4 linked regions of the Pelodiscus sinensis genome follow. The protein of the gene in region 1 purifies or fractionates together with the protein of each later gene. This does not show direct contact. Links are inferred from orthologs where the notes say so. Each region holds a gene or a part of one and is shown in the gene's direction. Other genes may lie near its edges.

Region 1 (7,029 bases):
TCAAGAGCCACTCCAGCCCAGCTAGGCCCACCATGCCACAGGTGAAGGACTACTCCAGCCTGGCCAGGCCTGCTGTGCCATTCCACAGGTGGGGGTCACTCTAACATGGCCAGGCCCACTGCAGCTCGGCTGGGCTCACCACACTGCAGGTCAAGAGCCACTCCAGCTTGGCTAGGCTCACGGTGCCACAGGTGAAGAACCACTCCTGCCTGGCCAGGCCTGCTGTGCCATACCATGGGCAGGAGGCCATTTAAGTGGTTAACTGATTAAACAGGATTTTACATCCCTATATCACAGTACTAGTTCATGGTCAATTGGTTATCCATCATGACACCCAAGTCCTTTCCTACACCACTGCTTTCCAAAATACAATTCCAAAATCCATTTCCCTGTATAAGATAAATGTTTGCCCATCCTCATTTTGCAGGCTGAGAAACTCAGTTTTGGAGAACTCACCTTAAGACACTTTGGAGTTATTCTATGCGGTAAAAGTTCTTACACCACACTTATAAAGTCTGAGCACCATCCATAAAGCATTAGGCAACCTGACTAATATATGTCCTGTTTGTTCTCCCATCGGGGCCAAGTGTATGCAGTGGAGTGTTTGTTTTTCTGGATTCTTATATACACATCTGTCTATATGTTTGTTACAGCAATGCACATGGTGAAGTTGGTGATTAGTGTCTGGAGGAATTCACTCTATAGTTTTGTGCGGGCTCTCAAGAAAGCTCTGTCTATGGGTGTGTCTAGACTACTGAGTTTTGTCGACAAAAGTCCACTTTTGTCGACAAAACTATACCAGCGTCTACACTACCGATGAGTTCTGTCGACATAACGTCGACAGAACTCAGCAGTTTTGTCGACGCTGGTATACCTCATTTTACGAGGCATAACACCTTCTGTCGACAGAGTTCTGTCGACAGAAGGTGTTATTGCCTGTAGGGTTGCGTCTAGACTACAGGGTTCTGTCGACAAAGCAGCTTGCTTTTTCGACAGAACTCAATGTGTCTGGACGCTCTTTGTCGACAGAAGTTTTGTCAACAGATACTGTCGACAAAACTTCTGTCGACAAAACCTGGTAGTCTAGACGTACCCTATGTCTACACTACAAGGTTTTTGCGCAAAACAATACAGTACATTGACAGGAGAGAGGGCTTTTGCCGGTAGAGTTATTCCTCTCCCCATGAGGAATAACTCCTTTTTGCGCTACAGCTCTTGTGCCAAAAGGCACGTGTGGATGCTCCACAGAGGTTTCTTGAGCAAAAAGAGCCTATCAGAAAAAGCACGGGTGCTCTGGTGGCCATTCTGTTAATGGCAATCAGAGCTTTCTTGTGCCAGATCATCCATGCAGTGTGGATGCTCTCTTGCGCAAAAGCACATTGCTTTTGCAGTGTGCTTTTGAGGTGTGGATGTGTTTTTGCACAAGAAGTTTTTGCGGAAGATCTCTTCCACAAAAAGCTTCTTGTGCAAAAACCCTGCAGTGTAGACAAAGACTCTGTGTCCTGTATTTCAGGATAATTTTACAAAGTGCTGATCATCTACAACTTCTACTGAAGTCAACAAGAGGTTCAGCTGCTCAACCCCTCATGCCACTCTCAGGTTGGACACCTAAAAACTAAGCCACACAGTCCAGATGGCCATTGTTCATCATGTTGTTGCCCATAACTTAGCCAAGTTCACACAGCAAAACCTGTAACTGGTTGGGAGAGTCCAAACCTTCTCAGCTCCATGTCTGCAATTTAGCCACAGTCAAAGCTTTCACACCTCCCCAATGATGTGAAACTCCCCCGATGGATTCTGTGGGTTTTCAGCCCTCCCTCCTGGATGTTTTAATTTGCTGTTTCTTCAAGGCTCATTCCTTCTTCTAGCTCTCTTCCTTCCTCCCTGCCTCTGCAGCACAGGGCTGGCTAGTGCTAACTGAGCCACACAAAGACAGCATCACTAGCTGCCTTAGGATGGGACCATATGTTGGATTAGTCCTTAATCAGAATGTTCATCTTATTTGAAAGAAGCCCCAGTGTAATGAATCTACCACGAAAATAAAGACCAAGAATCTTGAATTTCTGGGCTTTCATTGACTAATTATTGGGACTTCAAAGACAGCACTGACAAAATGAAATGCTCTGCGCACTACCTGTCCCTTCTGCTCTCATCTATCCACTCATAGACTCATAGACTCATAGACTCCAAGGTCAGAAGGGACCACTATGATCATCCAGTCTGACCCCCCACACAGTGCAGGCCACAAAATCTCACCCACCCCTCCTAGAATAATCCTCTCACCTATATCTCAGATATTGAAGCCTTCAAATACTTTGAAGACCCCAAGATGCAGAGATCCTCTAGCTGTGATCTGTACCCCATGCTCCCTCAGCTTGGCTTCTGCTGACATCATTTGGGCTGCTTTTGATGGAATAGGTCCATCAATGCCTATTAACCAGGATGGGTAGGAATAGTGTCCCTAGACTCTGTTTATCAGAGGCTAGGAATGGGTGACGGGGAGGGATCACTTGATGATACCCTGTTCTGTTCAATCCTTCTGGGGCATCTGGCATTGGCCACTGTAGAAAACTGGGCTGGACGGACCTTTTGTCTAACATAGTACGGCCGTTCTTATGTACATTACAAAAATAAAGGCTATTTAGGGAGGTGAGATTTTAGGAGGGAGGAAATAAGGAAGGAAAATAAAGTAGCTTTTATGGATTAGGTGTGGCTACCTGGTTATATCCATGAGTTTATATGTAAGATGCCCCTGTCTCTATACTGGTTATTTCCTCTTTGTGAGCACAAAACTTTACACTTAACAGGACAAAATCTTGCCTCCTATCCTGTATTCCCCACTGAGCTCATTTCTCCATCTCCGTTTGCAGTTTGGTTCGCTTGACTGGCCTATTTTCCACACCTCCAATTTTAAAGATCATCTGTAAAATTGGTCATTGTTGCATTTACAGGAAAGACACCTGACAAAAAAATACACAATGCATCCTCAGGAGTTCAGATGACTGTGTATTGAATGTGGTGGGCCAAAAAAGACTTCTGGAAATCTAATCAGGATGCAGGCCTACAGGTGGCCCTCCTAGGCACTACTTCTGCAGAAAGCCTGATTGACAGAACCAGCTCAGACGGCTTTCAGGGAAAGTCATACAGAGCAGAGCTGTGCAGGGAGCATGATTAGCAGAGCGCTATGGCTATGGCCCTGTGGCTCTGATTGTTGTCTGTTTTGTGTGCATTGATTCTTTGGCAAACCTTCCCCCCTCGCTCCTCCTCTGTTCTTAAATCTGAAGCGTCAGTTTTATATGTGTTCACTTTTTTTTTAATTGTATCCTTTGGTATATAGGGTCATGCCAATTTTCTTCCACAATTTGATCTGAGGAAGTGGGTCTGGCCCACGAAAGCTCATCCCCTAATAAACCATCTTGTGAGTCTTTAAAGTGCTGCACAGTCCTGTCTTGTGTTTCCCCAGCTCTCACATTTCACTGGTGTGACTTGAAATTACAATCAGAGAGCAGAGCTCCCGTCTCCTTCCGCCTACTGTTAATCACAGCAGCACCTTGCACTGACCAGGGCCCCCACAGAGCCCCGTGTCCCTGCCTTACGAGGGGCACCTCATAGACTTTAAGGTCAGAAGGGACCATTATGATCATCTAGTCTGAGTGCTTTTGCGGAAAAGCATCCTGCCAATCTAGACGCGATTTTTCCAAAAATGCTTTTAACGGAAAACTTTTCCATTAAAAGCATTTTCGGAAAATCATGCCCGTGTAGACGTAGCCGATATCTAGTTTAATCTTGAAGCCAGATCGATCTTTTGCCCCCACTACTGCCCTTCTATGCACCTGCCCCACAGAGTGCAGGGGGAGCTGGCTGTATGGGCAGTGGAAGGGGGGAGCTGACCCTGTGGCTGGGGGAAGGGCAGGTGTGTCTGGGGGGGGGGGGGAACTCCTCGCTGAAGGGCGGGGGAAGCCGCCTCCGTCGCTATGGCGCCGGGAGGCGGGGCCAAGAGGCGGCGCTCCGAGGCTCGGCGCTCGGCCGCTCGGCCTGTGCCGCTCGGGGTCTCGGCGCTCGGCTCGCTCGGCGCTGTAGGCCCGGCGGGACGCGTGCGGGGCGCGCGGCAGGATGGTGAAGCTCACGGCGGAGCTGATCGAGCAGGCGGCGCAGTACACCAACGCCGTGCGCGACCGCGAGCTGGATCTGCGCGGTGAGGCCCGCCCGGGAGCCGCGCGCCGGGGAGGGGCCTCGGGTCGCGGCCGAGCGTGGGGTGGGCCGGGTGTGTGTGGGGGGGCGGGAGCGTGGGTCAGGTGGGGGGGTGGGTCAGGTGTGGGGCGAGGGCACGGGGGGTGGGTCAGGCGGGGGGCGGGAGTATGTGGGGGGTGGGTCAGGTGTGGGGCGGGGGCGGGAGTATGTGGGGGGATGGGTCAGGTGTGGGGCGGGGGCGGGAGTATGTGGGGGGGTGGGTCAGGTGTGGGGCGGGGGCGGGAGTATGTGGGGGATGGGTCAGGTGTGGGGCGGGGGCGGGAGTATGTGGGGGGGTGGGTCAGGTGGGGGGCGGGAGTGTGGGGCGGAGGCACGGGGGGGTGGGTCAGGCGGGGGGCGGGAGTATGTGGGGGGATGGGTCAGGTGTGGGGCGGGAGCGGGAGTATGTGGGGGGATGGATCAGGTGTGGGGCGGGAGTATGTGGGGGGGTGGGTCAGGTGTGGGGTGGGGACGGGAGTGTGTGGGGCGGGAGTATGTGGGGGGTGGGTCAGGTGTGGGGCGGGAGTATGTGGGGGGAGTTGTAGCGGGGCGGGTTTTGTGCTGACAATTTTACATCTTGGGTACCTGGCTAATGGCCTAGTCCAGGGGTTCCCAAACTGGGGGTGTGTGCAGAAATTCCAGGGGGCCGTGCGAAGTGACCCAGCCGCCCCCGCCAGTCAAGTTTTGCTGCCCTGTTCAGTTTTTTTCCCCCCTCAACAAGTTTTACTGCTATTTGGAGGGGGTGCGTGAGGGTTTTTCAAAAATCAAAAAGGGGGGCGTGATGCCAAAAAGTTTGGGAACCACTGGCCTAGTCGATACAATTAGTCGATAGGGCGGGTGTGCAGAGCCGCAGCGGGGATCACACCGGGAGCCGGCTGCAGCTGAGACGGAGTAGTCCTGGCTCGTGCCAGCTCCAGGAGCCACCTGTGCTGCAACTCTGCGTGTTAAATGTGGCAAGAGCTGCTGGGCTGTTGCTCCATTTAAAATGCAGAGGCGCAGTATCGGACCAGCACAAGTTGGGACTGCTCGGGCCTGCCTGGTGCTGAATCCAGCAGCCTCTGTTGGAGGTGAACGGCCCTGGTTCTCATAGAGGCTGTGGAGTGGGGTGGAGGGAGGCGGGGCACGACACAGCAGGGTGCACTGGGTGCATAGGGACTCAGGCAGTCCCCACTCGCCCTGTGTTCCCACTGCGGCGCTATGGGGCTCTTGCTACATTTCACAGGCTGAAGTGCCGCAGTGGGAGCCAGGGTGAGTGCGACTCCTTCAGTCCCTACTCGTGCTGTTTCCCCACCGTGTTTCTGCCCCCCAGAGATGGTGCTGTGAGGAACCAGCTTTTAAGCCAGCTCCCCCCAACACCAGCTCCTACTTTGCTGCCCCCCCCTCCACTGCCTCTCCTAGAGGCAGCAAGTGGGGGGGAATTGAAGCCAGTTTGCCTCAGCACCATTCTCTGCGGGGGGGTGGGGGGCAGGTGAGGTAGAGGCACAGCGGGAAACGGTAGAATCTCTGCTCACACCACTTCTGCTGCAATTCTGTTTTTGAAATGGCTCAGATGCTGCAGTGTGTGCAGGGCCAGCGGGTGAGTGCTCTGGTCCAGCGCTCCCTGGTGGGCTTCCGCTTTTGAACTGGACTCTTGCTTCAGTTCAAAGGCAAAGGCACCCTTATAAACTAATCAAATAGTAGATGGAAATCCCATCAACTATTCAATTAATTAATTAATCTAAATTTAACATCCCTAATCACTACTTGACTACCTGATAAGCTTTTTGCTTATTGGATACTCAACTAGTTGCTGACATCCCTAGCTTGTGCTGGGGTGGAAGAGTGGGGGAAGTAGGGAGGCTTCACTCTGGATTCATGAGGGAGACAGTGATGTCACATGCTGCTTCTAACCTGGGAATCCTGCATCCCTTGTTGAATGGCCCAACTCCACCCCAATGCCCCCTTTCCTCCCCCCCGACTCTATTTAACCTTGGTCTGACGCTTTCCCCGCAGGGTACAAAATCCCCGTCATTGAGAACCTGGGTGCCACCTTGGACCAATTCGATGCCATTGATTTCTCCGACAATGAGATCCGCAAGTTGGATGGGTTCCCTCTGCTGAAGAGGCTGAAAACGTTACTGATGAATAACAACAGGATATGGTAGGTGGCACGTGGAAGCTTTCAGCATTGGCTGTTTGCTTGTATCATTGCAGTTCTGCAACTTACATACGATCAGGGCTTGACAAGTGGCAGCGAGCCCCTGTTTGGCGCACTGCGCATGCGCAGACCGTGCTACGCATACGCTGATTGTGCTGCAGCGCCGTGCCAGGCTAAAATCTACTCGCCATGGGCGAGTAGATTGCCGTAATTGTCGAGCTCTGCATATGATCATTGATTTGTTTTAATGGAAGAATGCAGCATGTTACAGTTATGGAGAACCATTGTAGTTTGCTTCATTTTCAGTGTGCTTTATGAGCACCAATCCTTTTAAATCCTGGATAACGTCAATAAATATTATCCTCATTTTATGGACAGGAAAACCAAGGCTTGGGCTTTGTGATTTGGTCAAGTGTGCCGAGATTCAGTAGTTTTTTGTTTATCATTCCTACATTCAGATCAGTGAAAAATGTAAACATGATCAGGAAGTTTGGGACAGTGGTAAGTGAGGGTACAAGTCAGAGGTAATTACAGGAACAAAATAAAGATTTAAACTGTTTTACTTGATGCAAGGTGAATGATTCCCAAACCAAGTGACCCCTTGTACATGTATTGCATTTGAGGGTTAAAATGTGTCTGCAGGTTTTTATTAACATTTATTA
Region 2 (7,332 bases), on another chromosome or scaffold:
GGAGAATTCTTCTATCAGTCTAGCTACTGTTTCTCCAGAATATGGATTACTAATGCCAATGGGAGACTCCCTCCCAGAATCCCATCAGCATAGGTAACGTCTACACTGAAACACTACAGTGGCTCAGCTATGATGCTGTAATATTTTAATGAAGCCAAGCCCACAGAGTATGCTTGTTTTGCAATCATAGCTGTGATTGCAGCTGGAGTAGATATATCAAGTGGCAACAATGTGTGCTTCAGGATGGGCTGTACAAACTTGCCCAGAACCATGGATAACTACTCGCAGACTTCTGTGCTGAAACCTGAATTGCTACAGCTTCACTTCTAGCTAAATTAAAGCTAGTACATCCAGGTGTGTCCCCTCAAGCTATAGTCACATCTGAGATTGCAGTGTAGACTTAGCTTGTGTTTGCTAGGTCAGATTCTTAGGCTATGTCTACACAGCAACATTATTTCAAAATAACTAACATTATTTCGAAATAACATAGTCTGCGTCTACACAGCTAGAAGTTATTTCAATATAATGTCAAAATACTGTCAAGCTGGAGGACTTCTTACTCCAACTCCTGTAACCCTCATTTTATAAGGAGTAAGAGAAGTCAGAGGAAGAATGCTCTATTTTGAAATAAGTGCTTATAGACAGTACCAGAACTTGAAATAAGCTATTTTGAAATAAGCTATGCAATTGATGTCACTCATTTTGTGTATCTTATTTCAAATTAAACCCTGCTGTGTAGACACACCCTTAGGGATTTGGCGGCCGAGGGTGGGGATTGGCCTGCCCTTTTGTTATTATGTTTAATCTTTTCCTCCAGAGAAAACAAAGTAGCATTATGTAATTCCAGGAGAGATTTCTGCATATGATTATCTTTAAAGTTTTTGCAGTTCGCTGATCTGAAGGAGCAGTATTTAGGGTTCTTAAGGCCACAAACTTATATAATAAAGATTCTGTTTATTTCAAATGACACACTGAAGCTATATTTGGAGTTGCTAATACTCAATAACTATAGGTATTCCAATATTTTATGTATTCAGATGCAAATGCTAATATGTGAGCTAGATTATGATGCCTTTCATTCAATTATAGTACATTCCAGTATTGTATTCTGGAAAGAACGAACTCTGAAAAGGATGTGGAGGTTATAGTAAACAAGTAACTTAACATCAGCTCCCAGTGTCATGCTGGGGCAAAAAAGGGCTAATGTGATTCTTGTGGCAATTGTATGTCTTTAAACTGGAGCATTTCCATTATTGTAAATATTTTAAAAGAAAATGTTTTGTTTTTCCCCCCATAGCGGAATATTTCAGAGATAAGGAAAACTGAATCTGAAAACAACTTAAAATTGATCAAGCTTATGAAGACTGGTGCGTTAGAAGACCAGTTTGTAATGAAGTACATCTAAGCAAGCAAAACAATATCCATTATTCTGCAATATTCTAAGCTTTTTTGATTTCTCTAAAAGCTTTACTGTTGCCTTTCATTAAATATTCCATTTCTTCTAATGCCTGCTCAGGGTATTCAGTGCCCCTGTACATGTAAAAATGAAATAATTTATACCTGCAAGACAGAGGGAATGGTACCTTGGCACCCCTGAGTCTTTTGGCTTCTTCCCTTCTTTGACCATCTGTACTCTGAAACTGTTACCTCTTAGATAGTCCCGGAGGGAGGGACTTCCAACACTCCAGTCATCTGAAGAAGTGGGTTGTGCCCATGAAAGGTCATGATACTATGTACATGTTTTGTTAATCTTTAAGTTGCTACTAGACTATTTGTTTGTTTGTTTTAATTTTTCCTGTTACAGACTAACTTGGCTACCCCTCTGAAGCTTTAGGATGCATAAGGATCTTGTGCAAAATGGGGGGGTTTGTGCCAAAAAAAACCCCATCCACACTTGCTTCTTTTTGTGCAAAAAGCCCTTGTGCAAAAAGAAAGGGCAGAAAATATGCTAATGAGATTGTGACTTATGCTAATGAGTCCCTCATTAGCACATTTTCTGCCGGAAGAACTCACAGTGAAGACGTAGCCATCAAGTAAGCTCCCTTTATCAATGAAAGAGAGATAAGCACAGTGGTTGTTCTCTCCAGGTAACAATTATATACACTGGGCCAGATAGTAAACAAAAGTTGTTTATTAAGTATAAAGAGTAGGATTTAAATGGTGCAAGTGAAAACAGCCAGATCAAAGTAAGGTACTACATTTAAATGAAAAGATATAGCTAGTTCTAATTCACCAAGAAACTTATTGCACGTACACTCTTACCCTAAAGAGATGCTCTTATTTTAGGCATAATCTTCAAGTCAATGACAAATTCTTTTTCTCATACTTGGGTCCCCAGCCCTTTTTTGGGGAGTGCCAGGCAGTAGACAAAAGGGAATTGCTTCCCATTTCTTAAATTGACTTTTCCTCAGGGTATCCACTCTTCCCATGGAAAAAATCCAGGTTCAGAATGGATTTCCAGTACCAGGTGTCAAGGTTACAGGTCTTTCTAGTCCAACCGCCTTTGCACTTACAGGACAAGCCAGGCTTTTTACAAACCATTGAGTTGATCACTAGTCATTAGGCTTCCAGGGCACTAGAAACAGCTCTCATTAGCACATATAAAACTATAAATAGACTCACACTTCATATTTCTAAGTTCACATACAAGAATGATGCGTGTACCAATTTAGGATATACAGATCCAGCAGAGTATAACATTAAAATTGATAGATTAAATGATGTATTTTGTGGAGAGTAATGGCAGCAAGCGGCAGCACTGAGAAGAAAATCCTGGAGGGGAGGGAAGTGTATAAATCAAGAGGAGTTTAGTTTCCTTGATGTCAATCAACAACAGCAGCTAGGACAAAACTTCTAACCCAGTTCAGAAAGGGTTGAATGTTGGGAAGTTAGTTAGAAGTGAACTGAAGTAAGATACACATTTCTCTAGTCTCAGACTGGCATGTATGGTTCTTTATGCTGTTTTGAACAGTGCTGTGGTAAGAACTGATGGGTTATCATACTTACACAAAACCTAAGATGGATTAAACAAAAGACAGAACTATGTAGCACTTTAAAGACTAACAAGATGGTTTATTAGGTGATGAGCTTTCGTGGGCCAAACCCACTTCCTCAGATCAATATGTGGAAGAAAATCGGCACAACCATATATACCAAAGTGATACAATCAAAAAAATGAACGCATGTGAAATTGACAAATCAAATTTTAGAATAGAGTGAGGGTGAGGGGGGAAGGTTAGTTTCTGTGAGGTAATGACATAAGGGTGATAATTGGGGAAGCTATCTTTGTAATGGGTGAGATAATTAGAGTCTTTGTTTAAACCCATACATAAAGTGTCAACTTTAAGCATGAAAGACAATTCTGAAGCTTCTCATTGAAGTCTGGAGTTAAAGTCTCTTTGAAGCACTATGCATGTTTTAAGGTTATTAAAGGAATGATCAGTCTGGCTGAAATGGCAAGCAACAGCTTTCTCTCTGTGAGAGAGTCTTATGTCTGTTTTGTGTGCATTGATTCTTTGGCGAAGTGTCTGAGCCGTCTGTCCAATGTACATAGCAGACAGACACTTTAGGCACATGATGGCATAAATTATATTTCTGAATGAACAGGAATATGTGTTCTTGATCTTGTAACTGGCATGGTTAGGCATGATCTTGTAACTGGCATGCCCTAAGTGCAATGTGCGATCAACGCCCCTGGCTGCACGGCCGTCAATGGAGTGATATCATCGGGCACCCCGTTGAAGGGGGCGCCCTAGGTGACGGCCGAGTCGGCCTATAATCACGGGTCACCCCTGGGGAGGAACCATGGGGTGGAATGGCACGAGTGGGTCAGGTGTTGGGGGGGAGGAGCACTGGAGGAGGGTACGATGGGGAGGGGGGCACTAGTGAGCTGGGTAGGAGCAGTGAGGGGAAGCCAGGAGGAGTGGGCCGCACGTCTCCAGGCTAGGGCGCTGTTGCTAAGGGCGCTTGCAGGCCGAGCCAGCACAGGCGGTGCCGAGCGAACTAGCAGCGCTTAGCGCGGCTGCAGAGGGAGCACGCGGCTCCCCCCTCGCGTGGCCTGGCTTTGCGCGGGGTCACTTCCGTAACGCCCGGAGGAAAAAACTGCCCGGGCCGCATCGGCCTCCCTGCGCGTGGACGCGGGAAACACGCGCGGACCCCGCCCCCGCAGGTTGCCCCGCCCCCGTTCTAACTAACGGCACCGCCACTGGGGGAGCGGCCTCTGCAGGAGGCAGTTATCATCGCCCCGCAAACGGCAAAGTCACATGACTCCCCTCGTCACTTCCCGCCCCCAACTGTCAGGTTTGTTTCCTCTCATCCGGTTAGCACTCGTCACTTCCTGCGCGCGGGCTGAGCCCGCGGTGCAGGCTGGGATAGCATCCGGGCCTGCCCCCCCTGTTGGAGACGGACGCGTCCGTTGTTTCCCGGCTAGGCGAAGGCCCCCGACCCGCCCGGCACCATGGCGATGCAAGCGGCTAAGCGCGCCAACGTGAGTGGGGGGCGGGGGGGGAAGTGTCGCTGACCTGTCCGGCGCCCAGACCGTCTCCCTCCGCGGTTCGGCCCCGCGCGGATCAGCTCCGACCGGGGGCGGCGGAGGGGCCGGGTTCGTGGCGCCGCGGCGGGGCGATTTGTTCCGGGCGTGACTCGCCCGTGCAGCGCCTCGTGCAGCCTAACCCGGGGCCGCCACAGCACTTCCGCCGCCTGCGGGGCCCTTCGACCTAGTCCGACTTGCCCGTCACGGCCCTTCGGGTCTCCCCCAGTTACCCTCCTATCGCGACACTGCGGGGGAGAGCACAGCACTAGCTAGCGGAGAGGTGCTGCTCGGGCACAGAGGCAGAGACTTTAAATGACCCCTCGAAAGCCCCAAGTCAGAGCCTCCAGACTGGACATTTTGCCAGAGAAATTTTGGAGCAGGTCAGTGGAAATGAGCAAAGGGTCGAAAAAGATCCCAAATTGCGCTCGTTGACTTGAGCACCATCTGTTTAGCCTTAATAAAGGCAAAGTGAAGGGGTGATTTAAGCCACAGAGTGTAAGCACCCCGAAGGGGAACAAATATTTGATACTAGGCTCTTTAGTGTAACAAGCAAAGGGAAACCAACTATACAACCATTGGCTCTTAAACTTGCCAAATTTGGGGCTGTGCTGCCCTAGAAGCGTTATAGTGGTGCAGCTGCACCAAAGCAGCATTTTTAGTGAATAGGCTCTGTGCGACTAGGAGAGAGCTTTCCCATTGACATCATTACCCCACCTTCTTGAAAAGTAAGTAGCTGTGTTGGTGGGAGGGCACTTCTTGCCAACAGTGCTGTGTTGGTGTAATTGGTCTCTCTTGGGGGTGGCTTTTTCACTCCCCTGAACAACATAAAAATATATCAACACAAGCAGTAGTGTAGACCTGCCCTCAGACTTGAATGCTGGAATAGTGTAGCACAGATTGTGATGGCTTCTCCATGGGTACATCTACCCTGCAGGGCTTAATTTGAAATAAGCTATGCAAATTGAGCAATTTATTTCAAAATAGGGAGCATCTACACAGCACTTATTTCAAAATAGAGCACACTTCCTCCAATTTCCCTTATTCCTCTTACAAGGAGGGTTACTGGAGTTGGAGTAAGAAGTCCTCCTCCAGCTTTACAGTATTTTGACACTATTTTGAAATTACTGCCTACTGTGTAGATGCAGACTAAGTTATTTTGGAATAGAGCTAGTTATTTCAAAATAGTGTTGCAGTGTAGACGTACCCCATCAGTAGCCATTTTAAAATTAAGACTGGATAGTTTCCTAGAAGGTATGCTCTAGTTCAGATAGGACTTAATGGGGACATTCTATGAGCTGTGTTTTGTGGGAGGTCAGATTAGATTATCATAGTAGTCCCTTGTGACTCCAGTCTCTGTTAATCTACGTATACTTCTAGACCATAGGGTCTCAAAATGTAGTCTGTGATCAGAGGCACCAAATTCCCCAGTTTCCATGGTGGGCTCAATCCCCACTGTGCCCCAATCCTCCTCCCCCACTCCACCTCTTCCTGCAAGTCCCCAGCTCTTCCTGCCCCATCCCTCCTCTGAGTGCACCCCTCCTGCTCCTCACCCCCCTCCCCAGCACCTCATACACACCACTGAACAGATTTTGGAGGATGGGAAGGGGAGGAACACCCACTTTTTTCTTGAGTGGGTGATCTGGGGGCTGGGATTGGTGCCTATGTCTGTAGTCCACAAAGAGCTGGCTGGTCACCATGTGCTACTCTCCTGGTTTCCAGCTATTAAATTACATTAAAATAGAACTACAAGTACAGGCAGTCCCCGGGTTACGTACAAGATAGGGACTATAGGTTTGTTCTTAAGTTGAATCTGAATGTAAGTCGGAACTGGCGTCCAGATTCAGCCGCTGCTGAAACTGATCAGTTTCAACAGTGGCTGAATCTGGACGCCAGTTCTGACTTACATACAGATTCAACTTAAGAACCCCAGGCATCCCCAAGTCAGCCGCTGCTGAAACTGACCAGCAGCTGATTCCAGGAAGCCCCGGGCAGGGGCTTCCTGTAGTCAGCCACTGGTCAGTTTCAGCAGCGGCTGACTTGGGGACGCCTGGGGCAGAGCAGCTGGGGTGCTGCTGGGTTGGTCCAGTAGCGCCGCCGCGTGACCAACCCAGCAGCACCCAAGCTGCTCTGCCCCAGGTGTCCTGATTCAGCCACTGCTGAAACTGACCAGCAGTGTCTGAATCAGGACGCCTGGGGCAGAGCAGCTGGGGTGCTGCTGGGTTGGTCCCGTAGTGCCCAGAGCGGCGCTACGGGACCAACCGGCAGCGCCCCAGCTGCTGTACCACAGGCGTCCGTAGCAAAGCCGCGGAGCACGGGGGCAGCGGGACAGCCCAGATGCGCCGTGGCTGTCCTGCTGCCCTCGGGCTCCGCGGCTTTGCTCTGCTTTGCTCCCCGTCCCCCTGGTCTGCAGACCAGGGGGATGGGGAGCAAAGTGGCAGAACACGCGGGCAGCGGTCAGCCCAGACGCATCTGGGCTGTCCGCTGCCCGCGTGCTCCGGGGCTTTGCTCTGTTTTGCTCCCCGTCCCCCTGGTCTGCGTCTGCAGACCAGGGGGATGGGGAGCAAAGTGGCAGAACACGCGGGCAGCGGTCAGCCCAGACGCATCTGGGCTGTCCGCCGCCCGCGTGCTCCGCGGCTGTGCTCTGCTTTGCTCCCCGTCCCCCTGCCAGGGGGAGCGGGAGCAAAGCAGAGCAAAGCGGCGGAAGACGCGGGCGGCGGGCAGCCCAGACGCGTCTGGGCTGCCCGCTGCCCGCGTCTTCCGCCGCTTTGCTCCCCGTCCCCCTGGTCTGCAGACCAGGGGGA
Region 3 (7,873 bases), on another chromosome or scaffold:
GTCTTCATCCCTTCTGCATAACTTCTTATAGTCATGACTTATTTCAAGTTAGGAAACAGTAATGAGACAAGTAAGCAAAAAAAAATCCTGTTGTCTTACTAATATCATTCTTCTAGAAGTAATATAAATTGTTAGTTTCACAATGTTTCCCTGACCATTTGGCAGCTCTTGAATCTATCTTGTTATCCTAACCCTAGTTTTACCCATGCTTTCATCTCAACCCTTGATTACAAGTTCACTTTATACAGTGAAAGCTGCACCCAAGAAGCCCATGCCTCAAACAGTGCTCCGAATGTATCATACATGTCTGTGCTCTTTTGGTGAATCATGAATTAACCCTGGGCTATGTATGTTTGTTTTCTGTTTTCTTACATAAACTTTGACTATGTATGTATTTTTCTGTATTTCTATCCTTTTGTTTATTACTGAAGACATTTGCCTATAAACAGAATAACAGCATACCAGAACCTTTGGATGTTGACTGACTTGCTTGTTCCTTTGTTCTACACTGTTTTGAAGGCCCTCCAAATAAATCACAATAGCTGTACTTATTGAGATTTTAAGTACTGAAACAGACAATGGAAAAAATGCTCTTCTCTCCATGTTTTGAGTTTGTTTCCACATAAAGATGAGTGTGTGAGGGGGGGAACTGATACCTATTATGGAGCAGGTGTAAAACCAGACAGGAGGGATTTAGGAGGCTGCCAGGCAGATACATTTTATTCTCTCTTTAGAGAGAAGTAGCTAGCTGTAGTTTTACTTTCAATCCCACAAAAAAGAGACATATTGAGAGGAAGGAATGGATTATCTGAAGTGTATTACGAGCTAGTCTCCCCTTCGTACTGGCCATCTTCAATGATTTCTGCTGCATTTGAACCTGCTGAATTTCACCATGTAGCTTATCTGCTTACTATTCAAGGTGTAAGATGAAATCCAACAATACTGGTTTTTCAGTTTGGAAGGATCAGTAGTTTTATTGGTGCTTGTCTACAGTAATTTTTTAGTTAGGAAGCAAAACTATCTGGCTATATGCCTGTGAAGTAAACAAGACTTTTTTTCTGCCCAGTTTTTCTCAGCTAAAATTATTTGCTTTATAATTTTAATTCTGCATTTCTGAGCCAATTGTTATATATGTCTGTGGCACAACAAAGAATCTTGTGTTCTGATTTTACACTATATTCAGTTCTTTTGGATTACCATCATTTTTGTTGGGCAGCCAGTTGTAGACATTTAGAGTTAGACTGTAAACTATTGCAATTTAGATCTGAGTGTACAAATGCAGTTTGCAATGCTAGTTTAGCCATGCTGGTCCCAAGATATTAGAGAGAGACAAAGTGGGTGAGAGAATATCTTTTATTGGACCAACTTTTTTGGTGGAAGAGGCTTTGGGTAGCTTGAAAGCTTGTCTCTTTCACCAACAAAATTTGGTCCAATAAAAGAGATTACCTTGTCTCGGCACAAATGTAGACATGTTAAAAGGTTCAATCAGAATACTAGAAAAGCATATTGATATACAGATTATTATTCTTTATTCATTCTACTTCTTTTGCATTCCTATCACTTGGAAATGATTTAAGACGGATTTTTTTTCCACAGGTCGCAGAAGGAATATTGCTCTGGGCTGGTCTATAGTACTGCAAGGGATGAATCTAAGTTGCACAATTTTAGCTACGTTAATAGTGTAGCTGAAGTAGACATACTTATATCTACTTATTGCAGTGTCTTCACTGTGCTGTGTCTACTGGAGACACTCTCCTGTCACCTCTCCTTTCACTTCTCATTGAAGTGGAATGCCAGAGTCAACAGGAGAGTGATTGGTGGTCATTTTATCGCGTCTATACTAGATACAGTAAATCAACCCCTGCTGTGTTCTTCACAACCCCATTGAACCAGCCTGTAGTGAAGACATGGCTTCTGACTCTTAATATGGAAATGTTGACTCAGAAGAGAAGACTTTTGTCCGACTTATAGGGTATGTCTAGACTGCATCCCTCTGTTGGCAGAGGGATGCAGATTAAGCAGGTGGACATTGCAAATGAAGCAGGGATTTAAATATCCCGTGCCTAATTTGCATAAAAATGGCCACCACGTTTTGCTGACAGCACTTTGTCAGCAAAAAGTGGCAGTCTAGAGGGGGATCTGTCTAGAAAGAAAGCCTTTTTCGACAGATCCCTTATGCCTCCTGCAAGGAGGTTTACAGGATCTGTCGAAAAAGGCTTTCTTTTTTGACAGATCCTCCTTTAGACTGCCACTTTTTGCTGACAAAGTGCTGTCAGCAAAACGTGGTGGCCATTTTTATGCAAATTAGGCACGGGATATTTAAATCCCTGCTTCATTTGCAATGTCGACCTGCTTAATCTGCATCCCTCTGCCGACAGAGGGATGCAGTCTAGACATACCCATAATGCTGCCAAGTGAAATGTAGAACTGATAGGGCAAACGTTTATAAGATGAAGTTCTTTCATTCATTGGCCAAGGATGAATTCAGTTTCCATGATGTCATTTTCTGTGTTCATGTACACAATTCTGTTTAATGTTTCCGTATTTCTACACTGGTTGTTTTCTGTTAAGTGCATTAAAGTTATGCTTGTTACCGCCTTCTCTTATGGCTTGACTGTGCTTGGGAAGACATCCTTTTTATTAATCTCATGATTTGTTAATATTCTAAACAAGTTCCCAGTTCTATAAGGAAAATCAAAAAGAGCTAAATTTCACAGTCCTACATTAGTAAACTGTTTAATTTGAGCACAAGAGCCAAAAATTCTTTAGCTGTAATCCCAGCTCAGATACTAACTCCCTCTGTTGCTTTCATTGAGTATTTGAATGACCTTGCCTCAGTTTTCCCATCTGTGGAATGGGGGGAGAAAGAGAACCCAACTCTGCAAACTGTGTTTGTACAGGTATCCCAATTACATTAATAAGCCCACAGCAGATATCAACTACTTGCCTGAGTAATGGTTTGTAGGGGGAAACTTATGGTTACTTATAGGATATTGTATAGATTAATATATTTATAAACTCTGTAAAGATTGCAAACTCTGTAAATGCTAAGTATTGTTTGGGGCTAATTGTACATAAATGTACATGTGTTAGATTACAGTACATGAGGTTAGTACACAGATTACCGAGTAAACAAAATTGGTGTTCATTACATGTATATGAATTTATTTAAAAAGTAATCTGAATTGATTGCATGAGCAAAACCTAAATTTGAATGCGACTGAATAATCTCAATGTATAAATGTTTGCGTACTTAGAGGTGAATCTTCCTAATTCCAATATTTTTTTTCAAAACTTTCTGCATTTATAAACACTTCTTTGTTAATTGATATCTTAGGCCTGTTGCATGTGAAGGGTTTTTATGTTTGTACCAGGTGTATCACATGCAGCTGTAAGTGGCTGGCTGTGTTAGTTTAGATTCATATTTTGCTCTGTAAAACAGATTTATCTTCAGTAGTAATTTAAAATTACTTTTAATACATAAATAAAAATTCTAATCTGTATCTCTACAGCCTTACTGTGAATGCACAGGACTGATCAAGTGCCTTGCTTTAGTTCTCATAATATAATTATTACTATAGTAAAACTTTGGTTATTATAACTTTTACCTGTAAAAAGTAGCACTAGCAGAGGGAAAAAATTGGCAATTTTCAAGTGCAGTTTTCATTGGGCTAACTAATTTTGAGTTAATTTTAGTTCCTATAGTGTTCAAAATATAATTTTTTATTTACATGCACAAAATAACAGGTATTTTAATCTGGGCTAGTAATGGGTGTGATACAATTTCAGTCCTTTATCTAGAGCAAATGTTTTTTGGTTTCAGACCATAGCAAAGAAATAGAGAGGGAAGTCATAATTGGGTCCCTTTAGTCTATTCAAGTGAAAATGCTCTATAATTATTCTCTAGCATGTTGAGAGATGCTTTACCCTTTAGCTTTAAATATTCTGAAAAAATTGGCTACTTTTACCTTTCACTCTTTGGGGTGATATTTGTGCAGTCTAAGAATACAGAATTCAGATTACTTGTAATTGTATTGCATTTTTCCAAGTTAGACTATTCTAAATGATAGCTCTTCTGGGCGTTTACACTTTTTCATTTATTTTTAGGTAAGTACAGCTTCCTTTCCCACACTACACTCTAATAACTTTATCAACACTATACCTTTTAACTCAATATTCCCTTAATTGTAGGGTTGACTAAAGCTATATCCATATTTGAATAGTCCAATATCCATGTTTGGATAGCTCTCTGGCCATGCTGTTGGGGTTGCGTAGGGTTGGCATTTTTCTCCACGGGCGAGAATAAACCGTGGTAGAACAGGCTTTCGTAAAAGGTAATAGAGATGTAGCCGCGGAGGCCGCTAGCACAGGTCATAGTAGGAGAGGGGAACACCACCTGTGCTAGGCTCGAGTGCTCTTGGACGTTAAGCCCTCGGGACTTATAAGGGATAATTATTGTGGGATGAGGAATGAAGATGAGGACGCTCCTCTCTCATTCCACCCCTGGCAGCGCAGAGCCGGAGCAGACACTCCCATTTCCCCGCTCGCTGCAAAGGGGGCGAGTCACCAGCGGCGTTTGCGCTATGGCTGCCGATGAGAAACGTGACCGGTGCAGCCCACACCCGAGCCCGCTTGGAGCTGTTGCTCCGAATCCCAGCTGCCTCCGCGAAGGACTTTGGCCGGGGCCGCGGGCTCGTCGGAGGTCTGAGCGCCGTGGCAGCGAGCGATACTGCTGCTGCTGCAGCTCGGTGCGAGAAGGAGCTTTGCCGGTGCAGGAGCGCTCCGCGTACCCTCACTGGCGCGGGGCTTAAGGGGGCCCTGCCCGCCTCCAGCCGCCAGGGGGCGCTGTAGCCCTCGGCCGGCCCCTGTCGGCTCCGCTCTGCAGCGCTCCTCGCCTTGGTCACCGCGCTACGGGCCCGTAATGGCGGCAGCTGCGTAGCGGTTCCTGGGTCTCGCTCAATCCCACAGGCCGCCGCTGCTCCGCGCGCTTGGGGCAGCCATGGGCCGAGAGTCCAGGTGAGGCGGCGGGAGCGGCCCTGCCGCTGTCAGAGCTGGGGGTGGGGAGGAGGAGGAGGGGCCGCGTTGAGGGGAGGCTCGCCTGGGCGCAAGGCCCGAAGGCGCGGGCGAGCGGGCTCCCTCCGGATGGTGCGTGAGGGAGGGCCGCGCGGCAGGGCAGAGCCGGCCGTTGCCGAGGCTGTGGGGGTAGCGACGGAGACCTCCCCACACCCCTGCCCGTTTCCCAGCGGGGCGGCCTCGCACGGCTGTTCCGCCTGCGGCCCGGCCGAGGCCCGAGTGGCGAGCTCGCCCTGCTGCTGTGTCGATTGTTCGGCGCCCCAGCTCGGCCCAGGCCCCTGTTTCTAATGCTTCCCGCTCCCGGCTCAGATGCTCCTCAGACTCCGGCTATATATTTATAAATATATTCCTCCCCCCCCCCCCCCCCCCCAAACAAGCAAGCTACGGGGCTGCCTTGGTTTCTAGCCCTACGGGCGGGAGGAGGGGTACAAAGTGCTGGCTCGTGCACCCAAACGATGGGTAACACTGTTGGGATTCAAACCCATCAACGTCTCTGAATGGCTTGTGCTGATTTTTAACGTCCTTGAAGTGCATCATCTCTGTAAATGCAGAGACCCTAATGGAGACACGGCACTGCTGTTTTTGTTTTGCTGTAGCTCAGGGCTATTCAACTGTGGAAGCCCCTGGGGGCCACAATGATACTCTCAGCACATGCTGAGGGCCGTACCTGAAGAGTGGTGGCATATATATGCAAATATCTTCTTTCACACTGATGGGCATGAACAGGGCTTGCCAAGTGGCGGTGAACCCCGCTCGCCAGCTGTGCGGTTCTGCACATGTGCAGATTGCTCTGCGCCGGCTCTTCCGGGATGTAATCTGCTCGCCACTGGCATGACACTGGACCCAAACATGGCCAGTGTAAGCCAGTCAGCACCTCTCAGGCTCTCCTCACAAGGCTAAGCAGCCAGCACTTCCCACAATACTTCTGCATTCCTGGCATCTCCTTCCTGGGGACTAGAAATGCCAACACCCTGTACCTATCTGTTCCAGCCAACCTGTCCACTTGCGTCTTTCAGTGTTCACCCTGCCTGGGAGACATGTCGCCTTTGTGGAGCATGTTCCCAGTGGGGGGTGTAGCTGGTGAAGGTTAGTCCAAATGGCAGAGGTCGGAAGGAATATAGATCTGACATTTTGACTTGCTATACTATCAAGACAAAAACTACCTGTGGTACCTCTACTAGGATTTTATAGAAGTAGCTCTTATGTTGTCATGAGCGCACCTTCCTCCCTCCCCCCCCCCCTTCTTTTTCTTCAGTGAAGACAAACCCACACTCTGGAATCCAGCAGGGGTGTACGAGTGGAACTGTTTGAATGGTTAACCGATAAGCATTACCCGGGCTCCTTGTGGCGCTGCCACTTTGAAGTACCCTCTCCTCTCTTCTCCCTCCTCCCCCCCCCCCATCAGATAGAGGCAGCAAGCAGGAGGATTGACTAGTGGACTGGACTAGTCCTTAACATCCTTACTCCCATGTACCATCTCCCAGCCCTGCTCCCAGGGAGTCAGATGCTGCTCCACACTGCAAGCGATGATACAGAGCCAGCAGCAAGGGGTGGCAGCTGGCTCCCTGGGAGCGGGCTGGGAGCCATTGTGAAACATTTACAGTAACTGAGGGTTAACCATTTAAATGGTTATACTGTTATATCCCTATTTTATGAGGGGAGCACTTGCTCCAGCTAAGATCCAGGCTCCATTGCAAATTACACAAATGTCTGCCGAGATAGTCTCTTTCCCAGAGACTTTACAGTCTAAGACAGAACTGAGAAGAGGTTGGAAGGGAATAGAGAGGGACAAAGAGGTGAAGAAGTTACTTGCTCAAGGTGACACAGCAGACACAGTGTATCTACAGAGTACCCTTAGCTCAAAATAAGCTACGCAATTTGTGCTACGCATATTGCGTAGCTTATTTTGATGCTATTTCAAAATAGCGTATTTTGTAATTTGGTGCTGTCTACACAGTGCCAAATTTCAAAATAACTCGCTATTTCAAAATTCCCCTTAACCATTGGGATGCCAGAATAAGCCGCCCATTATTTCGAAATCTATTTCGAAATAACAGGCTCCTTCAATAAATGCAGAGTAGCTATTTAGAGAGACTTCTGGTATCCCTAAATAGCTCCACAGTGTAGATGTACCCTAACATAGCTGTGAATAAAATTTAAGTCTCCTGATTCTCAATCTAGTGCCCTTTCCATTACGCCACACAGGCTCACATTTGTACACAATCTTTTGACTGGCGTTTGATAGTATCTCTGTGGAACTGAGCTATAAACTGAGGCAGACTGTCTGAGACTTTTTTAAATGCAGTTTTAATCTTTTTCCTGCACATAAAATTGATGTTGCTCAATAGTAAACCCCTCCTGAGATTATGATGCTATCACAAAAAGCTTGACTTTTGTAGTGAAGCCTCATTAGGATTATTTCAATGATATATAGCAAATAATCCAGCTATCTTCAATATCTCAATAGGGGACATGTGTGTGTGTGTACTAATTCCGTTATGCAAGACCAGGGAAGACTTCTGTAATCTTAAAACAAAAACAAAAAAACCTCCTTGCCCTTCCTTTTTATGGTTTTTGTTCTAAATGTGATTTCAGTACCTATAATCTGCAAAGTGTTCTCCTTTACATCTTTACTTTTTTATTGTAAATGTGCAATTACATAGGCATTATCGGAAGCGCTCCACATCACGTGGACGATCTGGTAGCCGTTCTAGAAGTCGATCTCCATCTGACAAAAGAGCAAAACGTGGAGAAGACAGACGATCTAGAAGTAGAGATCGAGAACGCAGGCGTGAGAGGT
Region 4 (7,961 bases), on another chromosome or scaffold:
CTTTTAAGGTAGCCAGTGGGTCCCAAGCCTTTCGGCATCACACCCTCAGGTGAGCTTACTCGAAGCTCACGCGTCGAAACGTGATCTGATCACGGACGGTTCGGCCCCTCATTGGTTTCGCAGAACCGATATAAAGGGGGCGGGGACCATTTTTCTGATCGGGGTCCACTGAAAAAAATCAGACGGGGGAGCCACACACAGGCAAAAAAAACCCCCCAAAAAACACGCACCGCAAGGTTCGGCGCTTCCAGATGTGCTGCGCGCTGGATCAAACAACGGGCCATAGACACGCCCCCGCTGCCCTGAAGCACCGCCCCCAGCGGTGCTTGGGGACGTCCTACCTCCGTCCCTCGTTGCTGACAAAGCGCTCCCAGTTTCAGCAGGCCGTTCCAGTACTTCCTCACCGCCAGCCCAACAGACATGCAGGGTCCCACGGCCCGGGAAGGGGGCACGGCTTGGTCGCTGAGGAGAGTCTCCACGTAGCCTGTGAAGCTCTGCAGCAGTAACAGCAGCCTTTTTTGGGGGGCGGAAACACAACACGACTTTGAGCGGCAGTGGGCTTTTTCACGACTGCCCTGCAAGTTAGGGGATCATCTAAGGGGGCCCAGGGTTGGTGTCGGGCAAACCAAACAGTGGTAAATCCTGCCAGTGGTTCCCAAACTTTTCAGCATCACGCCCCCTTTTTGATTTTTGAGAAACCCTCACGCCCTTTCCCACGCTCCAAAAATAGCACCAAGACTTGTTGAGTAAAAAAGAAGAAAAAAAAAGAAAGACCTTTTTAAGAGTAGAGCAGGCATTGCCCTTTTAAGGCGGCCATTTTGAAGTCTGCCCAAGCAGAGGGACGGACTGGGCTCTTTCTTGGAGGGGGAATGACGGGCAAACCCTACCAGTGGTTCCCAAACTTTTCGGCATCACGCCCCCTTTTTGAGTTTTGAGAAACCCTCACGCCCTCCCCTGTGCCCCCAAGAATAGCACCAAAACTTGTTGAGTTAAAAAAAAAAAATTGACCTTTTTAAGAGTAGAGCAGGCATTGCCCTTTTAAGGCGGCCATTTTGAAGTCTGCCCGAGCGGATGGATGGACTGGGCTCTTTCTTGGAGGGAGAATGATGGGGGGGGGAGCTGGGCCATCTCACCTTCCACTGGAATTTCTTCACGCCCCCCCCCCCTCTGGGGGCCACGTTTCCCAGTTTGGGAACCCATGAGACTGTTTTGGGGTAGAAATGAGGCAGGGCTGGACAGGCATGGGTGCATGTCCCCAGCTGTGGGGCTAGAGCAACATTCCTCTGAGTTCAAACACCGATCAATTTCACTGCCACAGGGACTTCATATTGGTCAGTTTCAGGATGTTCCCATGGTGCTACAACCATGGGGTTCGTGATCCACCAGGGGATCGTAGGGGACTGTTCCAGATTCACGTGACTCTAACACGCCAGACGCAGCTACATGGTCTGTACGACCGTAGGCTGCGTCTAGACGGGCAAGTTTTTCCACATTTTCCGCTTTTGCGGAAAAGCTTGCCAGCTGTCTACACTGGCCGCTTGAATTTCCGCAAGAACGCTGACGATCTCATGTTCAAATGCTTCTGCGCAAGAGGGCCAGTGTAGATAATGGGGTATTGTTTTGCGCAAAAAAGCCCCGCTGGCGAAAATGGCGATCGGGGCTTTCTTGCGCAAAACCGCGTCTAGATTGGCACGGACGCTTTTCCACAAAAAGTGCTTTTGCGGAAAAGCGTCCGTGCCAATCTAGATGCTCTTTTCCGCAAATGCTTTTCACGGAAAACCTTTTCCGGGAAAAGCATTTGCGGAAAATCATGCCTGTCTAGATGCAGCCGTAGTGTTTTCCCAACAGGCATTTCTGGAATTGGGGCTGTTCCCGGGCCAGTCTTTTAACCGTAGAATCCTAGGGTTGGACGAGCCCTTCAAGACACGCGTGGCCAATCCATGGCTTGTGAGCCTCGTGCAGCTCTTTCCCCCTTAAAGTGCGTGTCACCTCACTGGATTTTAACGGGAGCAGCCAGATCACTGCTGCACCCTTGGGTGGGGGGGGAGGTTGCCCCAAAGGGAACCATGTGAGGTGTCTCATGAAAGCTTCTGTTCTACTGATTCTGTATGTGCTATTCATGTACTTGTATGATATCTGTATGTGGAGTTATAAGCATGTACTCTGTAGGGATGCTGGAAAATTCTCTGTGGCCAGGAATGCTCAGCCAATGGCTATGCTAATTAGCAAGGCTCCAGGCTATGCTAATTAGCAAGGCTCCAGGCTATGCTAATTAGCAAGGCTCCAGGCTATGCTAATTAGCAAGGGCTGTGTCTAGACTGGCAAGTTTTTCGGCAAAAGCAGCCTGATGTGTCCTAAAAAGACTAAGTCTGTGTTTTTTCAAGGGGCAGTGACTTTTTTTTTTTTTGGCTTAATTTTGGTGCGGCTCTTCGTGTTATTTCCGCCGCTGATTCGGCTCTCTTTGTTCAATGGGTTGGCCACCCCGGCCTCAGGAGGTCATCAAGTCCAGCCCCCTGCCCAAAGCAGGACCAACCCCAACTCAATCAACCCAGCCAGGGCTTGGTCAAGCCGGGACTTAAACACCTCTAGGGACGGAGACTCCACCTCCTCCCTAGGGAACCCAGCCCAGGACATGAACAGTTCTTTCATCCTCGCACCTGTCAATCACTAGTTCCAGGAGCACGACATGGGAATGCTGGGTAAATTCAGGGTCGTTCTCCACATAGTCATACTGCTCCAGCAAAGCCACCAGATCCAGCTCGCAGGACACTTTATTGGGGAACTTCCAGGAGGGATAGCGCGCGGCTCCCGCCCGGGAGAAAACGTCGACGATGGCTCCTTGTAGGTCGGTGAGGTCCTTCCTCAAGCTCTCCATGCAGTTCGGATCGCCCAGCAGGTGCGCCATTCGGACCGGGCAGGAGGGGCAGATCTGCAGGAGGGGACAGATTCACTAGCTGGGCCCCTAGGGAAAGGGGGGCAGGTGTTTTACGGCTGTGGGTGCACGACAGGCCGTGCCCCTGGCCCGGCACACGTGTGCACGAGGGACGCGTGTGCTGCACGAGCACCAGCCCAGCCAGACATGGGGCCTCCCCGCCCCTGATCCCAGCTCCATCCCCACTCTGATCCCAGCCTCCCCTCCCACCCCGATCCCAGCTCCGCCCCACTCTGATCCCAGCCTCCCCCCCCGATCCCAGCCCCACCCCCCACACTGATCCCAGCCTACCCCCCAATCCCAGCCCCGCCCCCCACTCTGATCCCAGCCTCCCCCCCGATCCCAGCCCCACCCCCCACACTGATCCCAGCCTACCCCCCAATCCCAGCCCCGCCCCCCACTCTGATCCCAGCCTCCCCCCCAGATCCCAGCTCCGCCCCCCACTCTGATTCCAGCCTCCCCCCCAGATCCCAGCCCTGCCCCCCACTCTGATCCCAGCCTCCCCCCAGATCCCAGCCCTGCCCCCCACTCTGATCCCAGCCTCCCCCCCCAGATCCCAGCTCCACCCCCCACTCTGATCCCAGCCTCCCCCCCAGATCCCAGCTCCACCCCCCACTCTGATCCCAGCCTCCCCCCCAGATCCCAGCTCCGCCCCCCACTCTGATCCCAGCCTCCCCCCCAGATCCCAGCTCCGCCCCCCACTCTGATCCCAGCCTCCCCCCCAGATCCCAGCCCCGCCCCCCACTCTGATCCCAGCCTCCCCCCCAGATCCCAGCCCCGCCCCCCACTCTGATCCCAGCCTCCCCCCCAGATCCCAGCCCCGCCCCCCACTCTGATCCCAGCCTCCCCCGGCCCCACAGCAGCTAACTCAGCTGGCAGCTGTTCAGCGGACAGAACCATCCAATCCAAGGGGGGGCACTCCGCTGCTTTACACCCCCCTCCCCCCGCGTGGAACAGTCCATTTTCTTCCCCTGCGCAGCACCGCCCCCTGGAGGACGGGGGAGCCAAGCGCGGGCAGAGCGAAGGGCAGCGGCGTCAGCAGGGCTACTGCGCATGCTCCGTGCCTCTCGCGCGCTCCCGGCGCCCCGAAACCATGGCGACCTCAGCCCCCCCTCCCCCCGCGCATGGTACTGCCCACCCGGCGGGGGCTGAGGCCCCGAGCCAGGCCGCGCCGCCCGAGCGGGGGTGGGACCCCGGGGATACGGGCGCTGGGGCGGGACCCACCTGCCGAGCCTCCGCCCCCCCGGCTCGGAGCGGATCCTTCGCGCCCCCGTGGCCGCGCGCCTCGTTACCACGGCAACCGGGCGGAACGAACCATCTGCGCCGGAAACTGTTCGCCGCGCTTCCGGCTCCCTCTCCCCCGAGTGGGCCTGCCCCACGGAAGGCCAGCCCCTCCTCAACTATTCTGCTCGTCTTTCACGGGTTTGGTTTCCCCCAGTAGGGCGTCACGAGAGAAGCGCTCCCCCCCTCCCCGTTCTCTCAGTGGAATATTCCGAGTTGGCTCCCTCACAGTGAGGCAAGCCCGGCGGGCTGCGCGCGCACCCACTGCGTGGCTCCCCCCCACCCCACTGGTATCGCCGCCCAGCGGACACCCCCCCAGTTCCGGAGTAGAACAGTCCCCCTGGGCTGCGCGCGCAGGCTCTGCGTGGCTGCCCCCACCCCACTGGTATCGCCGCCCAGCGGACACCCCCCTAATCCCGGAGTAGAACAGTCCCCCTGGGCTGCGCGCGCAGGCTCTGCGTGGCTGCCCCCACCCCACTGGTATCGCCGCCCAGCGGATACCCCCATAATCCCGGAGTAGAACAGTCCCCCTGGGCTGCGCGCGCAGGCTCTGCGTGGCTCCCCCCACCCCACTGGTATCGCCGCCCAGCGGACACCCCCCTAATCCCGGAGTAGAACAGTCCCCCTGGGCTGCGCGCGCAGGCTCTGCGTGGCTGCCCCCACCCCACTGGTATCGCCGCCCAGCGGACACCCCCCCCTAATCCCGGAGTAGAACAGTCCCCCTGGGCTGCGCGCGCAGCCGCTACGCAGGGCGAGGCAGCGCGCGCAGCGGCCGCCATTTTGGGTCGGTGTCCGCCGGCCGCTCGCTCCCGTCGCCCCAGGCCAGGCCGCTGAGGAGGCGCCATGCCGGCCGGGCCGGTGCAGGCGCTGCCGCCCGCGCAGCCAGCGCCCCCCGAGCCCAAACAGGTACCGGCCGGGCCGGGCCCGCACCCTCCCCCCCCCCCGCGCGGGCAGGCCCCGGGGCGCGGTGCATGCTGGGAGGGTGACCCGAGCGCGGCGCGCCCGGCCCCGCCCTCCGCGCCTGGGGGGGGGGTCTGGATCTGCCCCCCCCGCGCATGCCCGTCAGATCCAGACCCCCCCTCACAGGCACCGGGGGGGGCAGATCCAGACCCCCCCTCACAGGCACCGGGGGGGGCAGATCCAGACCCCCCCTTCACAGGCACGGGGGGGGCAGATCCAGACCCCCCCTTCACAGGCACGGGGGGGGCAGATCCAGACCCCCCTTCACAGGCACGGGGGGGGCAGATCCAGACCCCCCTTCACAGGCACGGGGGGGGCAGATCCAGACCCCCCTTCACAGGCACGGGGGGGGCAGATCCAGACCCCCCCTTCACAGGCACGGGGGGGGCAGATCCAGACCCCCCCTTCACAGGCACGGGGGGGGCAGATCCAGACCCCCCCCTTCACAGGCACGGGGGGGGCAGATCCAGACCCCCCCCTTCACAGGCACGGGGGGGGCAGATCCAGACCCCCCCTCACAGGCACCGGGGGGGGCAGATCCAGACCCCCCCTTCACAGGCACGGGGGGGGCAGATCCAGACCCCCCCTTCACAGGCACGGGGGGGGCAGATCCAGACCCCCCTTCACAGGCACGGGGGGGGCAGATCCAGACCCCCCTTCACAGGCACGGGGGGGGCAGATCCAGACCCCCCCTTCACAGGCACGGGGGGGGCAGATCCAGACCCCCCCTTCACAGGCACGGGGGGGGCAGATCCAGACCCCCCCTTCACAGGCACGGGGGGGGCAGATCCAGACCCCCCCTTCACAGGCACGGGGGGGGCAGATCCAGACCCCCCCCTTCACAGGCACGGGGGGGGCAGATCCAGACCCCCCCTCACAGGCACCGGGGGGGGCAGATCCAGACCCCCCCTTCACAGGCACGGGGGGGGGCAGATCCAGACCCCCCCTCACAGGCACCGGGGGGGGCAGATCCAGACCCCCCCTTCACAGGCACGGGGGGGGCAGATCCAGACCCCCCCTTCACAGGCACGGGGGGGGCAGATCCAGACCCCCCCCTTCACAGGCAGGGGGGGGCAGATCCAGACCCCCCCTCACAGGCACGGGGGGGGGCAGATCCAGACCCCCCTCACAGGCACGGGGGGGGGGCAGATCCAGACCCCCCTCACAGGCACGGGGGGGGGGCAGATCCAGACCCCCCTCAGGCACGGGGGGGGCAGATCCAGACCCCCCTCAGGCACGGGGGGGCAGATCCAGACCCCCCTCAGGCACGGGGGGGGCAGATCCAGACCCCCCTCAGGCACGGGGGGGGCAGATCCAGACCCCCCTCAGGCACGGGGGGGGCAGATCCAGACCCCCCCTCACAGGCACGGGGGGAGGCAGATCCAGACCCCCCCCCTCACAGGCACGGGGGGGGGGCAGATCCAGACCCCCCCCTCACAGGCACGGGGGGGGGCAGATCCAGACCCCCCCCCTCACAGGCACGGGGGGGGCAGATCCAGACCCCCCCCCACAGGCACGGGGGGGGGGGCAGATCCAGACCCCCCCCCCACAGGCACGGGGGGGGCAGATCCAGACCCCCCTCTCACAGGCGCAGGGGGGGGGGGCAGACCCACAGGTCGGGCCTGGGCAGGGCTCGGAGCGGAGCTGCCAAGGCCAGGGGGGCCAGGGACACAGCAGATCTGGGTCCAGAACAGATCTGGGGGGCAGGAAGGGGTTGGGGGGGAAGCGGTCCTTCTGTGCTGGCCTGGCCTGTAGGTTCCCCCTGTGCCCCAGTACAGGGACGTGCCCCCCACTTTTGGGACCTCTGGGAGTTCCTGAGCACGTGGGTTAAATCTGTGTTTCTCAACCTTTCTCCATAAAGTATCCCTTTAAAAAAAACTAAACATTTTCAGGGGGGACACACTTTTTTCCCCCCCACCATTGCAACACATTTGTTGCAACAACGTCATCGGCGCCGGGCGGGCGATGACGTTTTTGGGTGTAAAAAGGGCAAAACGAATCAAGCGCTGTCAAACTGAAAACCCGAATTCCGTTTTCTCCAAATGTCGGTGGTGACGTACCCCCAGACTTCTCTCAAGTACCCCCTAAGTCCGGGCTTCCCAAACTGGGGGGCGTGAAGAAATTCCGTGGTGGGGGGGGCCCATCAACTCCTCCCCCCCCTAAGTTTTGCTGCTATTTTTGTTTTTCGGCCAGGTCAGTTTTCTTTTTCTTTTCTTTTCTTTTCTTTTCTTTTCTTTTCTTTTCTTTTCTTTTCTTTTCTTTTCTTTTCGCTCAAGTTCTGCTGCGGGGTGGGTGAGTGGGAGGGTTTCTCAAAAATCAAAAACAGGGTGGTGATGCCGAAAAGTTTGGGAACCATTGCCCTAAAGGGACTCATACCACTGGTTTCGAAACACTGGGGTAACCGCCCCGCCAGCCGCTGGGAGAGCATTCTCTGCCCCGGGCGCGCGATCCTGGCGCGGCTGCCCCGGGCGTGCAGTCATCTAGCGGCCTGGCTCTGGCCATTGGAGAGTCGTAGGCTGGCGATATGCCAATGCGGGCAATGTCATACCTCATGAATAAACAGATCCGGGTCGGTCTTAAAGCCACCCAAGTGTTTGTCCCAGCGCTCTAGTTTTCTCCAGAGGGGCACTGACCACGGTGTGTGTGCGTACTATTGATCCCTCTGTCACCTGGCCCCCGCTAGGGGGTGCTGTGCACCTGGGGCAAAGGATGAATTCAAAAAAGCAGTTAATTAGATAACCATGAATATCTCGGCAGTTACGCACTGCCGACTCTGCAGTATAAAGCT

What was found.
Region 2: the proteins of SNRPA1 (region 1) and SF3B6 purify together in Homo sapiens (affinity purification with mass spectrometry; 5 studies listed by BioGRID and IntAct, with this or other methods). This does not show direct contact. The link is inferred for Pelodiscus sinensis from reciprocal best matches to the Homo sapiens genes SNRPA1 and SF3B6.
Region 3: the proteins of SNRPA1 (region 1) and DDX46 purify together in Homo sapiens (affinity purification with mass spectrometry; 3 studies listed by BioGRID and IntAct, counting the BioPlex papers as one, with this or other methods). This does not show direct contact. The link is inferred for Pelodiscus sinensis from reciprocal best matches to the Homo sapiens genes SNRPA1 and DDX46.
Region 4: the proteins of SNRPA1 (region 1) and SF3A1 purify together in Homo sapiens (affinity purification with mass spectrometry; 6 studies listed by BioGRID and IntAct, counting the BioPlex papers as one, with this or other methods). This does not show direct contact. The link is inferred for Pelodiscus sinensis from reciprocal best matches to the Homo sapiens genes SNRPA1 and SF3A1.

The regions. Positions count from the first base shown.
Region 1 is NC_134724.1:7,056,994-7,064,022, forward strand, and holds the start of SNRPA1 (U2 small nuclear ribonucleoprotein A'), read left to right. Parts: upstream 1-4,011; 5' UTR 4,012-4,113; coding exon 4,114-4,195; intron 4,196-6,222; coding exon 6,223-6,370; intron 6,371-7,029. UniProt on the Homo sapiens protein: Involved in pre-mRNA splicing as component of the spliceosome. Associated with sn-RNP U2, where it contributes to the binding of stem loop IV of U2 snRNA.
Region 2 is NC_134713.1:14,462,953-14,470,284, forward strand, and holds the start of SF3B6 (splicing factor 3B subunit 6), read left to right. Parts: upstream 1-4,325; 5' UTR 4,326-4,456; coding exon 4,457-4,486; intron 4,487-7,332. Other genes in the region: PFN4 (profilin-4), read left to right, coding at 1,298-1,326.
Region 3 is NC_134727.1:28,815,042-28,822,914, forward strand, and holds the start of DDX46 (putative ATP-dependent RNA helicase DDX46), read left to right. Parts: upstream 1-4,856; 5' UTR 4,857-4,999; coding exon 5,000-5,016; intron 5,017-7,736; coding exon 7,737-7,873. UniProt on the Homo sapiens protein: Component of the 17S U2 SnRNP complex of the spliceosome, a large ribonucleoprotein complex that removes introns from transcribed pre-mRNAs.
Region 4 is NW_027465935.1:507,823-515,783, reverse strand, and holds the start of SF3A1 (splicing factor 3A subunit 1), read left to right. Parts: upstream 1-4,959; 5' UTR 4,960-5,056; coding exon 5,057-5,119; intron 5,120-7,961. Other genes in the region: CCDC157 (coiled-coil domain-containing protein 157), read right to left, coding at 342-513, 2,658-2,929, 4,248-4,250. UniProt on the Homo sapiens protein: Component of the 17S U2 SnRNP complex of the spliceosome, a large ribonucleoprotein complex that removes introns from transcribed pre-mRNAs.